Linked DNA regions of Drosophila melanogaster. The protein of the gene in region 1 purifies or fractionates together with the protein of each later gene. This does not show direct contact. Each region holds a gene or a part of one and is shown on either strand. Other genes may lie near its edges.

Region 1 (6,331 bases):
GACTGCAACTGGAACAGAAATAAATATTTAATTATCCACCAGATATTCCGGATAAAACGTGTATCTCATGAATAAAACAAAATACAAAACGAGTTTCGGGCAATCGGAATTTGGCTGACGATCTTTACGATCGTCGCGACATAAGTGTTATGGATCGTTTTTGGTTCAGCTTGATGGGTTTTGCTACTTTTTGACGAATTTCGCTTAGTCGAAATTTGGCACATTTATGTTGGCAGTTAAGCCTTAAGTGGAGTTCTATGCCATTTGCCATCTCACATGGAATGGAACTTCAACTTTTAATTGGCAGTGCCGAGCGATAGTGAGCTGTGCTGCTCTTCCTCTAACCACTAATGATTTGGGTATGGGATTGGGGCATATGCGCAGTTCTCTAGTTAATTAAAATTTTTACTCGAGGATGAGCTCCTTTGATGGCAAAAGCATAAGCGTAGGCCCACGCACCCAAACTGCAGGTATGCATACCTACGTACATGTCAGGGAAATGGAATCCGTTTGAAAAGTTGTCTGCTAAGCAGTTTTCCCCGCTCCAAACGAGTCACGTTTGCCTTTGCCTTCTCTATTTGCACTTTTCACTTATCTAGCCAGGCGGCACACAAACACTTGCCGGCGGAGGAGATACGCGGATACATGGGCTCATATCTCATGGCTTGCTCTAATTTCTGTTGCGAGTTGCTTAAATATTTAGTAACACGGTCGGGGGCATTGGAACTGCTATGCCTTAAGCATAGATACAGATACTACAGATACTTGCAGGTAAACAGATACAGATACTGTGCGATACGATTAGATACTGCAGCTACGACTTCCTGTGCGTCTTTGTAACGCGCCAATGTTAATGTTCATTTTAATAGGCACGGAGTAATACTGTTTTTTTTTTTTGGCCCAAAAGCAAAGCCAACTCAATTAGCAGTCGAGTGGTGTGCGCAATTAAATTAAAATTTAGTTTTATGCCGAGCGCCTCTACCGGGAACTGCACGGCAAAAGCAAATCGGGAGAAACATATCGTATGCATGGCACCGACGAGAGATTAGCATCACAAACAGCACATAAACGTAAAAGTAACACACTCCAGAGCAAACAGAAAGAGATATAGATGGAGATACGGATACGTACTGTACGGATACAGATACATTAACAGATATACATAGATACATTGGCGGGGCATAAATTCTACGGAGGCGGAGGCAGGCGCAAGTGGAACTATGTAAACAGTAAATAAATGTCGAAAACAAGGTTCGGCATACTTAAGCAGGAGCAACGACCAGAGATACAGAGATACATACATAGGTGCTGATCGGAGATACGCCGCCTGGCATTAGCCAAATTGAAATTCCTCAAAGCCAGCGCTAATAACTTCCAGCTACCAGTTCAATTGGGCATTCTGGCATTCAGGTGGATAAGTCTCTGGGACACACAAACATGCACTTGTAACGCCAACTCTCGGTTGGCTATTCGGTTCTTCACACTTTGATGCCATGGCAATGCGGTCTGCTCAGCAATGTATCTCATAGATAGTTCTTCTTGGCGTTAACTACCTGCGTGTGGGAACGACTGAACAGAATGAGCAAAGAGAACCGAGAACCTCTGCAGACAGGTAAGCATTGGAGGGAAAAGTTGCAACATCATCGCCAGATACATTTGTATTCCAGTCGAGTTTGCGGCTGTGTATCATGTAATTGTGCGTAAACGCGTAAATACCAAGTCAAGGTCGGCTAATCAATAATAATTATTTTTCACTCAATTACACGAAACAGATATATATTGGGTACATTCGCTCGTTTTCGACTGATATTATCGGATTGTATTGCATTATTTGGTTATTCGGTCTTATTTTTGACTTCGGGTATGAAATATGCATAAACAAAAATATGTCGAGTATCTTGTGGATATCGGCTGTGGTAAATATAAATATACCTTCCATAGCCTTCACACAGTTTGGCCTCAGATGCGTGCCACTTGATATGGCAGTGTCGAGAAATCAGAATAACAAATGATGCCGCCGCCTGTGTATCTATGTATCTCTGCATCTGCGAGGTGCCAGATCCGATATGTAATGAACCTGGCGCGGCCAAAAACTTTATCCACGGCACGTCGAAAACTTTTCCGAGGCGTTGCTCAATGCGCAATCTTCTAATTGCAAACGGCGCCCGGCTGTTCGAGTGGTCATAGTTCGCCTCGAGTGGCTGCCCGCTCGAGGGTTTCACTCAGTTCAATGAATTTGCATATGCTTCTAGTTTCTGGCGGGGATTGAGAAGCGGATGGGGTCTAGAACGGACTAGAAATAAGAGAAACTGCAGCTGCGGGATGGCAAAAACTTTGGCTGACGCGCGATTTACTTGGTTGAAGTATGGAAGACTGATGGCGAGGCGAGGGTTAAGACAAACTCTGAAATCAAGGCAATGAATTTCCCGCAAAAGAAATGTTTTTAAACGGAGAGGATGCAAAAGTAATTAAATTGAAAAACCATTATCAATAATCCCAATTTATGTACCTCTTTCTTATTTAATGGAGTAGATAACTTAGACTTTAAGTATTCGAACCACTCTAGTGACCTGGGGAAATAACATACGTTTTCCTCTGCATAGTTTAAAGTTAGTACGTTTGCTCCTAAGGGGCCTTAACCATATTGGTAGCTTTAACTTCCTCCATCGTTCCCCGCTTCTTCCCCAGCCCGCATGTCCAAGTGCATACTCGATATTATAACTCTACGGATGGATGGCGTGAACTTTACCTTTTTCGCTGTAAGTCCCACTCGACTTGATGTCGATCGATTCGAAGTAGCTCTTGACGGCATCACACTGGTGGGTCGATCCCCCAACGGCGTCCTTCGCCCGCGAGTCCCGCTGTAGGCGACGTCTGTGGTGCGTGGTGGCGCTGTGCAGGTGGTGCTGGTGGTGGTGGATACCATCCAGGTCCAGGTGCTTGGCGGCTGACAGGCCGACGAAGCCGCAGAGCAGGGTAAATAGCAAAAGCTGCGCTAGCCGCACGCTCCTGGCCGCCATTTTTGATGGGTGATTTCTGTGTGCAGACACAGTGGATGATGGGGCTAAATTTGATTTGCCTTTGAATGCTTCTCTTATTTTTATTTTAGCCGGTTATTTTATTTACTCTATTTTGCAGCACTTCTTCGTATTTACTTCTGCATGCTGTCTGGGTGAACAGCTGTTCGCGGCAACAAACACACACACTCACACAAATGCACTTGCCGGCTAACACGCACACACACACACTGGCACACACGGCCACAAACACGAGCGCACAAAACAAAAGGCCCCAAAAACACGCGTGAGCAATAAACGTGGTAGTAAACGTGGGATGGCGATAGTGGGTGGTGGTGGGTGGTGGTCGAAGAGAGAGCGCGTGTCTAGCACTTTTTGCTTTTCTACTTTCTAGTTTTGAAAGGTCGCTAAATTTCTCACAAGTATTTTCTTAACTTATTCAGAGACTTTCCATGACATAACAACGAATAGTACTCAATTCCTTAGCAATTGATTTGCCAGCGATTAGATTTGTTTTTTTTTTCTTCTTTTTAATTTTCTCCTACGTTTTGTGTACTTAGGTCGGCGAAAATAGATTTAATTGCAAAGCTCCTTGGCCACCGGCGTTCTCAGGTCGAGGAAATGCACTCGCCTTCTTTTCTAGCGTTTTTCCGCTCGAATTTCGCACCGATATTTTCAGTTTTTCCGCGCGCGCAACGAACCTTCCACGACGAGAAACCCGAACAGATTGACTTTGCCATCGAAATCAAACATCCGCCCTGAGTGCTACAACTTTAACGATGCGAACACGAACCACACTCGGCACTCGACAATCGGCGCTAAGAGAACCATCCGAACGCTCTCTTTCGAACAAAAGAGAACGGCGAGCACAGATGTTGGCACAGTGGTGCAATGAATAGAGGTGTTTATGCGAACTCAATTTAATTCACAGGTTAACGCCGAGAATACATGAGTAATACAAGGGCGCAATCTGAAATGAATTAATTAATTTGAGTCTTTAGAGTTTTGGAAAACGAGCTTCGAACTAAACCACAAACTTTGTAATGCTTATTAGATATTATAAAGTATTTTAATTAAGGAATGCCCAACCACAATTTATAAGATGTTGTATTTATTAACAGCATGTAGTATGAGTAAAAGGGGAAATTAAAGTTAGTAACGCAAGCTTAGCTTTCGTAAGATATCTATTCTCTTCGATGATTGCCAAACGATTTCGACAGCCAATGAATCTACGTAGTTCCATAAAATTTGATATGACACATATCCTGTTTTCGTTTTATATATTTCAATAGTGATTCGCATTTATTTATGGGTTCCGGCATTCTTCAGGACCAACTTCGAGTTTTCCCTGGCCGTGTCATCTGCCACAGGAGCTGGCTTGATTCTGATTATTTTTCTCTGTGTCCGATGGGCCTAAATATTTATTCAAATTCTCGAAATGCTCTTCTAAAAGCTTTCAACGTTGGCTCGCTGCAATTTGCATATTCAACGTAAATCAATCCATCTCACAGTGGTCTTCTCGGGTGCTCCGGTGGCTTTTAATCCGGGCTTTTATCGATGCCGCTGGTTGAAATTTGCATGCTCGGTTCTAATTGATGTCTGAATGAGTTCTAATTTTATTTCATAGGCTATGTTTTACGATCGGCTTGATGAACCCGTGGAGCAGGCTCAGATTTCACGCCTTTGAAGAGTCTCAGATGCTTGGCAGCTATTTCCCTAGGGCTAAATGTTTCTGTTCAAATTGATAGCCGTGTCATGACCTCGCACAGCACGTGTGGTGGTATCGTTTGTTTTTTTTTCTTCATTTCTTTTCTTTTGTTAATTTTTTCCCTTTGCAATTTGCGAAAACGAAGCGATTGTCTTGAGGCTGCAGCGGTGTGGCAGACAATGCACGACCCGAACACACCAGCCTCTTCTCCCCGGACTTTCACTCGTCACCCCGCGGGCACCGACCTCGATCTTAAATACCTAGGCGTCTCGGGGCGTCTGTGTATCTATTTCTTCATTAACAAGATACTATATAGCCAGGGCAGCGGGAACTTCATGGTGGTCAGTTGCGGGCGTCCAGCTGGGCGCAAACGCCCTCCCACCCCCCATGGATGTTTTCCGTTCCCGGTGATATGTTCATCACGAAATGGAATCCTATTCAAATTAGTGTGCGATAAAGAAAGACCTCCCAAAAAATAAGAAAAAAAAAAGGAGAAGACTCAAGACCCCGGGGCAAACAGCGAAAAGTGAGTCATGCGAAGCGGAAACAGTTCTCCAATGAAACGAATCCACATCAGAAACAACCGTGATGATGATGATGATGATGATGGTGATGGGATGGCGAAACGGCAACAAAAAACAAAAACGAGCTGGAAAAGGTGAGGTCGAAAATTAAACACCACCACATCGTTTAGATAAAGTTATAAATTATAATGTACACTACGGAACGATCGATGAGAGCGAAGGTCCCAAAGAAACCGAAACCGAAACCAAAACCAAAACCCTTTTACTTCTCGCTCTCTCGCCTTATTTTCCGTTTTTTTTTCCTCCTTATTTTTGTATCGCACAGGTAAACCGTAGGCATATATATTATATAGGTGTGTGGGTAAAGGTAGGACTGGAATTAAACGAATTTAGTCAAACGGCATCTATAAATTATGGTGCTTCTTTTTGGCGATCGGGAAAATATGAACGCTTTTAGCTCGGCTCGTTGGCTTGTTGGCCCAACTCGAATTTCGTTTAAACGCTTGATTTAGTGCAGCAAAATATGGCCAAATGTTGGGCTATCTATGCAGTTGTATCCGCTTGTGTTTGTGTGTGTGCGCGCATTCCACAAGCGACAGCGTTTTACACTTGAAATCCTCCGGAGCGGGTCGAAAAGAGATGGATATATATACCCATGGAGCGACCCGGCTTGCCTTTTATCCTGGCACAAACACGTTGGTGGCATTCGGTTGTTGGTGTGCCTGCCTGTGTGTGTGACTGGTCCAACAGGTTCCACGGAGATTCTTCTCCAGTACCGCTCCCTCATGCCCGAAGACTGGCATGCAGCATTTCTCGTTCTCGGTCTCGTTTTGCACATTTTTGAATTTTATTTTAATTTCTTTTTATTATATTTTAGCTGCCAGGCTGCCCCTTTTCAGTGGGGGCCCCCCTTTTCTGGTACTTCGCTTCGGGTTTCTTCTGCTTTGAGTTTGGAGTTTGTGTGCAACTTTGGGCTTGCTGGCTTTTCATTCACCAAAAACTGGTTCGACGTTTAAGTTCTTCACTTGGCTTAGACGGGGGTTTTCAAGGAAGTTCTTCGATCCCACACCCCTCTCGTTCGC
Region 2 (6,108 bases), on another chromosome or scaffold:
GGTATTGAAATGTAATTTTTTAGACCTTCCTTATCATTTCTATGGATGCTGTTCACGTCATAAAATGTAGTTCTAGCATTACCATGTATGTATAGTGTTTGGTTAGCTTCAATCGAATTCGAAATATTGTATTCATGGGAAATGTTTGGATTATTATCATTAACGTATGAATTATGCAGATTATAACTTTCACGAGGCAGCGTATCTGCAACACAGGGTCGAGGGTTTATAGGTTCATATATTGAATCATATGTAGAAGAGCTCTGAAAATTAAAAAATTATGAATTATATAAATTATTATTATAAAATGCAAACAAAATTTTGTTCCAAATATACAATTAATACATCATTTGGAAGTTATAATCGTAAAAAGGAATAAAAGATTCGGTGAAAAGTATGTAACATGTATATATGAAGAATCGATTTCGATCGTATATATTTTTTTGTTGCAAAGGAACACTAGCCGAGTCTATCTGCCCATGCACGTATGCCCACTCTGATTTTGGGAACAATATAGGCAATAAAACCTGCCGGACTAGCGAATGAAATAGATGCATTTGTACATCATAATCCACAAAATGTTGTTAATCCATCTATTTAACGTTTAAAGTTCTTTCTAAATGTGGAAATAGTTATTGTTTATTGTTTTTTTTTTTTTAATAAATGTATATACATTAACATATTTCAAGTTAACTAAAAGTTCAATGGAAAAAACTGCCTACGTTCGTAAGTCATTTAATTATTCTTCAGCTTTGCTGATTGCATATCTTAATTTTTGTCGTGCACTTCTATTAGATGAATAAGATTGTTTATCAGACAGAAATATACTCCAGAGTAATGAACTTCAGATTTTGTGTACCTTGCCTGTGGCATCATGCTGCATCGCATATTGGTTTGCATATATTTGTAAAGGATTCGTTGTCTGGTTATTTTGTAAATAATCAATTGGTTTGTTGAATTCCAAAGTGGCGTGACGAAGCTCACTGTATGAAGAACTCACAGCGCTCTCTGGACTAGGTGGTGGCGGTAACTCATCTTTTTCGTTGTCTGAAATAAAATTAGTGCAGACGGATAGCATCTTTTGCGTTGAGCTATGAGAAGAGTCCATTGCTTTGACATTTAAATTATTTTATAATTAATACTATACAATTTTTATATAAGCATTACATAAACATACCAGTTTCATTAACGTTTGAATATGTACTCGCAGAAATCTTAGTTTCGTCTGTTAATAGTTCTAATGTTTCTATTTCTTTGCGAACAGAACCTAAATTAGAATATATTAAGCTTTTGCTTAAAGTCTTTGAAAGGGGCTTTGTAAAGCTGTTGAGAGGTTGTGTTGGCTTAGCTTGTACTCCCAAAAGACCCTTTTTTTCCATTTGAAGTTTATGGTAAGCAAGAGCTTCTAATTGCTGTTCCAAAATTGCCGGATTATCTAAAGTTGTTTTTCTGTTTATTTGAGTATCAGCAACTCCGAATTCAGAGCTGAGGTATTTTCTAAAAGGCATATGCCCCCTCATTGTTTTCTCGACTCCAATCAGAGGTTGTGAATATAGTGGTTCCCGCGAACACAAAACCTGTCTGCTTGATGGAACCTGAAATAAATAAATATTTATGCTTAAGTATACGTTATTATACACAGTTTTTCAGAATAATAACTTTTTATAATACAGGGTATAATAAGGGTATTATAAATAAAAACTAAGATGTGACATGCAGATTTTAATGACTTTGTACGCTGTGCAAAGTTCTAAATATTGCCACAGTTTGCACAGTTTGGTTTTTACCGAAGTGAAAAAGGCATGCGATAGATATTTAGGTACTGGTACAGTTAAGAATATCCCCTAAATTTACATATGTATACTTAAAACAATATTTACTTAAAAATTGATTATGTTTTTTTTAATGAATTGCTCCTGATATGTCGTGTAACAATCCATTAGTCTGTACTTGTTTTTGATTTCTGTCATCTGAATGGTAGCAAATGTTCGCTCACAGTCCAGCCGATCAATAATATATAAGTATATTACATATGCTTTTGTAGAGGGACGGAAATACCCTCTAAAACGGTACAATAACGGACTTTAAGGCTTAAAGAACAAGCCTTTGAGGAGAATCAATGAATTGCTTTGTATATAACACAAACTGGCTATACTAAAGTATGTATGTACCTGAGGCATTTCATTATATTTTATCGGCGGCTTAGGAGGTATATCCAATCTCCTCTTTACTGATGCATTTTGATTATTACTTATCTTGGCGACTAGCTTCGCAACTTTTCCATGTCCAATACATACAAGCGGTGAGCCTGTGTCACCTTTTGGAAGCGACAGCTCTCTAAGTTGCTGGGCCACAGACTCCATTGAAATTTAACAAAACGCGATTCCGTTTTCCTACAACAATAATAAAAACCTTTTTCTAATTTAAATTAAATCAAACATTCAAAGTCGTGAAATTTTAATTTAATATTTTCACTCCTTAACATTAATGAAATTACACCTGTAATGATGATAGTTTGGTTTGTTTTTAACCTGCATATAATTTTACTATATGTATAAAACAATTATTTTTATAAAATTATTGACATTTCAATACTAAGTGGAAATAAAACTATCGCTTATCGAATTTATGAGGCCCAGCAGTGTGACCTTAACACGAGAGCTAGAAAATCATTCTAGGCGCATAGGCTCGTATTCGAACTTATTAAATATGTAGTACTCACTTCGTACAATCGCTTTATATCTCGAAAGCTAATAAGACCATAGACACACTTAAGCGAGATATTGAAGCTAAATCCATATAAAACATATATATGTAGTTTTGCCTAAACGGCACCTTGGCAATCAAAGAAAATAATCCTAATCTGATTATAGGCGGACTATAAGTCAATGTAAGGTATTGAGAGAACTAATTGTTTGATTGAGACTACTTTAGTACGATAGAATAAATGAATAGAGTGTGAACAAATTCATGCCAAAGGACTTTAATTATTACATAAACATTAAACCGTGCGTTGAAACAATATTGTTATGTATTTTTATTTATAAATCTTAAAATATCAACGAAAAATTCGCCAAAAACATCGATGTCCACCAACATCGATGTTTCTCCACCTCTAACCTAAGTCCTAGAATCGAACTAATCCCAAGTGGGTAACGTGTACATTTTGTTTATTTTAGCAGGTATAGTCACTCCAACGAACAATCGGACACGTGCACTCTTATATAAGATGTGTCTCAAAGTGTCAGTCTGTATGACCTTCCCTGTAAGCGTATAGATCTCAGGAACTATAAGCTAAAAAGTTAAGATTAAGAATGCGTACTGCAGAGACATACGCGCAGAGCCAGTTTGCTTTCATGCCCGCTCTAACGCAGATGTACAAACCGCACAAAATTGCTACACCCATACCTTTCAAAAATATTTGTTTTTTTTATTATATATTTTTCTAATTTCTATCGGTTAACCAATAACATTTTGGCCACGCCCCACAAACCCTCCGAAAACTCCCACGCCCACACACTTTTGAGGAATAATTTTATTTGCATGGATTATATAATTTATTTTGCCTAGCGATGTACCCCAACGCCACCTTTCCAATCCGTCACGAATACATTTATGATATATTTCGATTTATTTATTAATATTTTTTTTTTTAATTTTTTATCGAAATGCCGATAAATAAGGAAATATTTTGCTCTTCCGTTTGTCGAGTAAGGGATATCTGACTGTCGGGGAACTTGACTATAGCTGTCACTGGAAAACTTTATGGGAAAGTTTCATTCAGGGATAATTAGTGAGACAAGTTTGTGTAGAAGCGAACGGATGGCAAAACAGACGATGAACGGCGATATCGACTCCACCGCTTTCCAGAAACTGATCAATAATTGATAAACCCCTGAACAAATTTTTAACTCAAATTTTTATAATATTTCCTTTGGGCCCAAACAAAACAAATGGCTGTCATGTAGGTGGCTTCCGATAAATTCGCTCACTCGACCACTGTTATTAAAAATATTTATAAGTTAACTTTATGAAATAAATCTCGTTTCAACATCATCCGAAATTGCATTTTTGTTCTTCTCCCAGACAAAGGAATTTTAAAATAAATTAAATCTGGTGCGGCTCTTTCAATTTATTTTTTCGTGATATTTGGTTCAGCTAATTTGCTAATAAATGTAAATGTAAATGCGAAGTCATATTACTTCATATTCAAGAAGAAAATTCTGTTCTCTTCTTATCTTCATGTAAGAAATTCACATTAAATACCGTGGAGGTCTGAATATAAATATTAATTTCATTGAATAAAGTTCCTCGTTAATATAAAAATGATTGCAAACCACAGTTGCTTGTAAATAAGTACCATAACGATATCCATATTTTTGAACACCACACCCAATCGTCTAATTGTTTGGCCCAATCGAAGCGAAATTAAGCTCGGTGGAGGAGTATTGTAAAGGATAGGGGAATGACCGATTTCTAAGGAGCCACATAATTAGGAGCCAAAATAATTATTAATTAATCAAATACCTTTTTAGTCAAGTGGTATAAAAACCCTAAATATGGGAAATCTATCATGAAAGGTGCACTTTTAAAAGGAAGCTGACTTGGAATCACTTCACATATGTACGGCCATAGAGCTCAATTCATCAGCGGAATCTTTTCAGAAAATGTGGGCACGGTAATCTAACTTTTTAATGGTTAAAGAAAAAAGATTTAAATGGTTGTAATCAGACAATCGTAACTGACATCCTATTCTACGCTTCTAAACAGTGGTCTCCTGCTGTCACAACGCACTATTAGTGATCATCTTCAAAGCGTGGACTTCCGTTTACGATGATTTATTTACTAACCGGGAACAATACAAGAGTAAACTTCTTTCGAACTGTAATTTTTTCTGTCCGATCACGCAGGCTGCCTTTCTGCGTGCTTATCGAGCAGCGTTTTGCTTTCCAGCAACTTTTAATTACAGATTAAAGTTTCTTATCAGTCGTTAACTGCAATTCAGGAACGAACTTTCATATAAACATATTTTATACATCTGTTCAAAATCAAATAAATATACATGTGTAAATATGTGTATGCATATTTTAAATACCTATGTACCTATGCTTGCATTTGTAAGCATACTTTCATCTATATGAAAAAAGGGCATAAAAATGTATAACAAATTCCATTACAGATGTGTGCAAACATGGATTGCAAGTGACAATCTCTGCAAATGCATATATGTATGTATGTATGTGTGTACTTGCGCATTCACATTAAATTTGGAATGATAACAATTGTTACATCGAATTTCTCAATACCTATACATAAAACATAATTGCTTTAGAGTTACAACTAGTTTTCTTATTTGCACATACAGTTTGTCAAGAAACTGTTTACACACTGTGAAATAAGTTGAATTTTTGACTTTAAAGGTAAAAACTAAGGGTTCTTTGCTTAAATTAAACGCAATTTTTTTCTAAAATATAATTAATCAATATTTATTTTACTTATGAATCAAAAAACGAATTAAAAATATTAATTATACAAGAAAATAAACAACAAATTCCAAGTTTACACACTTTTGAGACTGTCAAGTATATAAATATCAGTTTTCAACATTTATAATCACAATTATACTTTGCATTTCTTACAGTTTTCAACACCTTTAAGAGGAAAACGTAATTTGCGATTTGTTTATTACTTTATTAGCCCAAAGCCATATTTAAAATATTGAAAAGGTAGATGAAAGGATTTTGTACTACTAAAGTAATAGAGTGATTCGAACAATATTTGCTTTTAAGTTACATTTTTAATGGAGACTGTGGGTGGTTTTGGTAACATATGGCTTGCCAGAAAATGCGGTGAAGTGTAAATTAAAATGCTTAATTGGGTATAATAGGTCTGGTAGGATGGCCAGAAGGGGGTGGTCACCCAAAACAACCAAGTTTAGAAGCAAGCATAAACGACCCTGTAAAGTATATATATATATATATAAACTTGAGCAGGATTTCTTACCAAATCGATCTGGGCATGTCCGTCCGTGCCCACACTTTTGAAAAATGTTTGATATTTTGCATTTTTGTTATCAGTCAGATTTATCAATCAGATTTTACAATCTAC
Region 3 (6,049 bases), on another chromosome or scaffold:
TATTTTAATTGGTGGATTATTATTATGCAGGCAGTGTTGCAGACCGCAGTCCCCCCCCCTTCACCCCCTCGACAGCATAATCAAGTGCAGCAAACAAACAAACAAAAACACCTGCAAAGACACCAGTTGCACTGGCTGCTCACCTCTCCAGGTGAGCGTGCGGATTGCAGATCGCTCGCCTCGAGAGTCCCGTGTGTGGAGCAGAACCGAATCCCCCCAAGATTGTGGACCGCAGATCGGGGATCGCAGACCGCCTGGCTCTGCTGTGCTTGGACAGGTGCGTGAACGTGGCCAGCGGGAGCGAGAAAGAGTCGCAACCCGAATCGTACCCTAACGTATCCGAACAGGGAGTACCCTGGAAAGCACGCTCTTCTAAGTCCTTTAGAATCTGAATACATGTATTACTTAAAGGATCTAAGATAACGCAGATCAAATTAAATTGGAAAATAAATCATTTTAAGTTTCGCTTTTCTGTGGGCAAGTTACTAGAGTTAGTAAGTTAGTTATCATGCCTTTCTCAACCCCAAAAGATTCACTCCATCCAAAGGACTTTCTAACTTCAAAACTTGTAAAAACTACTTTCTGCCCATCTTCATTCAAGAGTTCCCCAACTCGTGCTAAGCAAACAACATCATCCACTTCAATTACCCTTGATCCAAGGGTATAAACACATAGTTTTTTTTTTAAACCAAATTCACATGCAGTTCGTAGTTGTAGTTGCAGTTGTTATTGTTGATGTTGATGTTGGTCGGTGGACAGAAGGGGCAAACGAGTTGGCCCCGCCGCCTGTGTATGCCAGTTGTCAGTTGGCAAAACTGGTATGGTTGCATTTTTATTATAAAGCGAACAGAAACAACAACAAAAAGCGACACCTAGGCAGTACGGGAAAGTCCGTCCGTTTGTCTCTGCCACTGCAAGTCAGGGATCGGAGGATAGGGGATTGGTTTGGATAGCTCAAGGATGGGAGGCTTGGGGACGCCGAATGGGAATGGGAATAGGAATGGGGACTGTCATCCATGGGCTGGTGTGTCGCCAGTTTAGCCCAGTACGCGAACTGCTAGTCAGACGTCTGTTCTATGGACGTTTCATGGACATACCGGCGCACATTCGTATTAACCCATGTAGCTTTGGCTTACTACCTGCCCCGCCCCCAAACGTATCCCAATCCCAATTGCAGTCCCCCCTGCAAAGAGCAGTTATTACCAGTGTTATTTACACAGAGATAAATGAAGAATGTGACGAAAGAAAATACGTTAAAACTAGCAAGATATTAGCAATCAAAGATACAGTATGTTGTATTCAAAATACGAAACAATGGTAATACATTTGATAAAACAGATATAAATTTGAACAGAAGTACTTGGATGCATTGAAAATGCTTAAATAATATTTCTTTCCGTGCATACTTTATTGGCTCTTATGTTTGCGTTTCGGTTTGTGTCTCCATTGCCCCAGCAGTCGTAATTTGTTTTGGTGTCCTTCTGCCAGACTGTCCTCCTAATGAGCCAGTTTATTGTATTTCCTATTTGTGGCCCCGTCCACCAAGCGATGACACTTTTTATGGCTCGATGAGGGTAATACAGGAAATGGCCTGCGATTAGCTTAGTGACAATTCTCGCTGCAATTGAAGTTTCAGCTGCAGTTGCAGTTGCAGCAGCAGCTGCTGCAGTGATTTATCATCTTTGCAGCCTGACAGTTGGCCAGCTTATATATCTATATATCACCTGGTGATATTTGACACATCGTTACTAATTGGTTAAACAATATGTATCACCGCTGACTCATGCCCGGCAATAGATAAGGTGTTTTGTGCTCATGCACCCGATCTGCGGCACTTTGTTTAATCGCTCACTTAGTTGGTAGCTGTTAAGCGGCTTAAAGTCGTTCTACACACTCGAAATGCTCACTTAGAACGCCTCAATGGTTTTCGAATTGGATTTATTAAGCCCAAACCAAATGGCTGTCGGGCAATTAAAGCCAACTATGATTTCCGCCTTTACAAAATGCTATGCAAATGTTCTCAATTAAATGCTGGCCCGGACACTCAAACATATGTTTGCTTATTCGCAATTTGATCGGCTTTTGATTTCGAATTTACAACTTTTAATGCTTGGCAGTAATCAATTCGAAGGAAATCAAGAGAGAGAGGCGAGAGCGAGTGCCAAATGTGATAATAGAAACCAAACAATTAAACAATTTTCGCAAAATGTTGAAACAACAAAGGCAGATAGCACACACGTTCGCAGATACACACAGATAAGTGAAATGTTTATATGTTTCGCATTATAATAAAACAAAATCGCACTTGGCATTATAGCAACAAAGAATCGGGGAATCTCCGGATCAGGGAATCGGGGAATCGCGGAATCAGGGAGAGGCAAAGATTAATTACAAAGGAAAAAGTAAAGACGCAAAGTTTACCCGTAATTACACTTCCAGATTTCCAGATGAGGTGCTTCTACTGCTGCTGCTGCTGCTGCTGGTGGCAAGAAATCGGCGGAATCGAAAATTAATTATGCTTGACATGTTGCCAGCGATCATCAGTTCGCCTCTTGTTCTTGCTGTTATTGTTGTCGTCTAGTTGTTGCTGTTGTTGCTGCCACTCGAACCGATATAAATCGCATTTTCAATTGCCTGGGCTTGGGTCTATTTTTTATTTGTATTATTTTTTACGTATGTATGTATTTCTACGCGAAAAAGAGAGGCCACACCGCGTTTGGAAAGAGACGAAGCACTTAGAACTCACTGGCGCATAATTTATTTGAGCCGGCGCGCGCCTTTCATTTCAATTCCCATTTCCATTTCGATTTACATTTGCATTTCAATTTCAATTTGATTGCGAGTACTTCGATTCGCTTGCCACAGATTACGCATACGCCACGTTGTGTGCGCGCTTGTCCGTCGACGCTGTCAAAGGTTCAATTTCGCGCCGTGCCGCAATTGCAATAAGCATTCAATTCAATGCAATTCAATGAAATTGCGCGCCAATTCGCCGGACCCACTGGAAAACGCTGCTAGCCAGTGTTAGTGGAAAACGACGCATTAGCGCACGCAGAAAATCAGAAAAACAGAAAATCGCACAAGTCTGAATATCAGAAATTCAAGCTAAGCCCCGCATTAAGATTCAGTCGCGTTGATAACAAACTTCAAATTCGTTTATGTTGTTTTCTATTTGAATTGCGTTCGGACTACGTATTTTATAGTAATTACGCTCCACCAGCGATCGTTGTCTCGTGTGAATCGGCGAACGTGAAAATCGCGCGCGAGTTTTCCCCTTTTACGGCTGATAGATTTTCCTGGCCAGCAATTTACAATTTCGAGCCACTCTCGAGCGCTTCTGGAAAACCGCACCGCTCGCGTGCGCAGCTAAAGTTGAACTGAGCACTGCAAGCGGAAAAAACGCTGAGAACACTGAGAAAACGCTCGTCTGCGTTCGGGCTGGCCTTCGTGTCGGTGTCGCCGAGCCGAGCCGAGCCGAAGGCGAAGCAGCGCAGCAGCAGAGGATTGGGGCCTCGTTTTTGGGGGCTCGCACTTTGCTGCGATTTTTTAGCGATAAGGGGACTTTTCTGGTGTTGTTGTACAAACGCTAGTTGCCTTCTAAAGTTTTGAACTAATTGTTATGCTTATAGTGATTCCTTAAAAACAAAATACTAGTAAAATATGTTTATAATATTTCATTGTCTACGATAATTTTGAGATAATCTAGATTTTATAGAGATAGTATAGCCCTAAAAAGTTAACAGTCAATGTCTACTAAATTAAACATGTCGTAACATGTTTGAGATGTTAAGATATTCATATCCAACTGTACCCAAATTTCAGGGCTGCCGACTTCAAAGGCGCACTCTTCACGAATTGCAATTGAAATCGAATTTCAATCTACATTCACACATTCCTAAGCGAAATGAACACCTCGACGATGGCAAAGTGTTAACAGGGCGAACATGAGAAGCGACCCCCCCCCCCCCCTGCGCATTGGGTGGGAAATCAACACACCTTAGTAGTCGCATGGTAGGCAAATCAATTCAATGCGATTCGTTTCGATTCAATTCCGGGAACTTTTGCCAATTAGAATTTGTCAACTGGCATTCCGCGCTGTCTGCCTCGACTTCTTTGTTTTGATAGTTCACGGAGGTATTTTCCCGTCTGATAAAGGCATTATTCGGCCGTAGTATCAATTCGATTGCTTTCCACTCGAACCATGAATGAATTGAAGTTCAAAAGCCTGCTGATTAGATCAGTGTGTGTCAGGTGGAATTGAATGACTTTGCAGTCAGGTGAAATTATCACCAGAATGGCATGTACATATGATAGTGTAAACTTGAAAATAAGGTGCTATAAATGACAAGGAATTTCACAATCCATACCAATAGCAATGAATCATTGCAAGTAATAAAAATTTTTTAAGCTAACTAAACTAACCAAAGGCGTGGGCTAAGTTCTAGCTAAGTTACCTGGGAGCTCTTTAGTTTTAGTTGCACTATAAATCGTAAGCAGCAGTTCTTTCCCACAATGAATGAATGAATCCATTCATTATGATCCCCAAAGCCGACGTGACTGCAATCCGAATTGTGTCTTATGGTATTTGTCTCGAATGCGATAATAGCACTTAAAGCTCTTAAATGCATTTGGCAGATGATGAGACAGAGACGGTGGTACAAATGGTGGCGAGTTTTCGAGACCCTGGGATAATTCACACTTAACCCGCAGCCAAATCAAACTGCCAGCCATTTGACATTTATGCGATGGCCTTTTTTTGCATGTTTTTCTTTTTTGTTTTTTTGGAAAAGCTGCCGCGGCACGCTAGGAAAATGCCACGGAGTTGCAGCTGAGCTGGAGATGATTTATGCACTCATTGTATCTGTAGTTGTGGCTGGAAAATTGCAGTTATCACGAACGAAGCTCGGTTTGGATTATGCTTCGGTTTCAGCTTTGCTTATGCTCTTGGTTTCAGCTTTGGATTTGGAGATAGAGATGGAGTTTCCCAGGCCATGGATTTTGTCACTGGAGGTTGCCTAGTCATTATTTATGAGGCGAACGGTGCAATATGCAGCCAGGTGGGAACCGTGACGCAGTCTGTAAAATTAAATAATTGCGTTTCATTAAATGCCGTTTGCTATTTGCATAGGTTCCCCCCGCATTGCAAACAAAGTGCAAAGCAATTTGGCATAAACGTCATCGGGTCGAATTGCTTAGTGTTTGGGTGGATGGGGAGGTAGACGGTGGGCGGTGGGCAGTGGGCGGTGGTTGGAAATCTGAGAATCCCGCCCCACAATTTTCCACGCCACTTGAGCGTAATTAAGCGTTGAGCTTCTAAGCCCTAAGCAAATAGGCAAGCCGTCGAGCGTCTCCAGCCCCAAAACCACCCCCCACATTTGGTGCGATTATCCACAGCCTATATGCTATATATATACGATTGCGAAGCAGTTTGCGCAGCGAATCGATGCTATTTTGATACTGGTAAATATTTGCAATTGGCCAATAAGTGACTCGGTCGCTGTTGTGCTGGCTATTTCGGGATGAGCGTCAGGTGAGAATAATCCCAATTCCAATAGCCCAAGCTCGACCGAAGTTGTGAAATAGTTTGCACCCAGTCAAAGAGTCAACAATCTATGGGGGATCTGGTCGATCTGGGCATTTTCCATAAAGTTATCACGCGCACATCGAAAACCAACAGCCTGCTCACAAACAAGCTGCTCAAATTTCCCTAATGGCGCAGAGTTCATTTGCCCCATGGAAAGCGATACCTACATACATATGTACAAACATACATATCGGGTCCACAGAATTGGAAAAGTGGCTTCAAGGAGCAAATTGCAGGGAGATAACTGCGGACAAAGATCAAGTGCCTCCACTTCAAAAATATATTGTACACTCCCAATGAAAAGAATAATTACAATGCAAAAATAATATACAACACATTAAATAGAAGGCCAATTTTTGTAGTCCTTAAATTCTAATTAAAAATTATTTAGAAAATAATTGGGTAAATTATTATACTTCATAGATATGAATAGATTTTAAATCTTCATTCAAAGTGAATTAATTT

What was found.
Region 2: the proteins of dally (region 1) and apolpp purify together in Drosophila melanogaster (affinity purification with western blotting; one study listed by BioGRID). This does not show direct contact.
Region 3: the proteins of dally (region 1) and cv-2 purify together in Drosophila melanogaster (affinity purification with western blotting, with the first as the bait; one study listed by BioGRID). This does not show direct contact.

What each region holds. Positions count from the first base shown.
Region 1 is NT_037436.4:8,824,922-8,831,252, reverse strand, and holds the start of dally (division abnormally delayed), read right to left. Parts: upstream 3,749-6,331; 5' UTR 3,021-3,748; coding exon 2,750-3,020; intron 1-2,749. UniProt on the Drosophila melanogaster protein: Cell surface proteoglycan that bears heparan sulfate. Functions as a coreceptor for growth factors and morphogens, such as the products of dpp, to regulate signaling and distribution of these ligands.
Region 2 is NC_004353.4:1,058,242-1,064,349, forward strand, and holds the start of apolpp (apolipophorin), read left to right. Parts: upstream 1-2,727; 5' UTR 2,728-2,895; intron 2,896-4,436; exon of another isoform or gene 4,437-4,678; intron 4,679-6,003; exon of another isoform or gene 6,004-6,108. Other genes in the region: Zyx (zyxin), read right to left, coding at 1-263, 860-1,110, 1,178-1,595, 2,172-2,363. UniProt on the Drosophila melanogaster protein: Constitutes the major component of lipophorin, which mediates transport for various types of lipids in hemolymph. Acts by forming lipoprotein particles that bind lipoproteins and lipids.
Region 3 is NT_033778.4:21,376,084-21,382,132, forward strand, and holds the start of cv-2 (crossveinless 2), read right to left. Parts: upstream 3,382-6,049; 5' UTR 2,422-3,381; intron 1-2,421.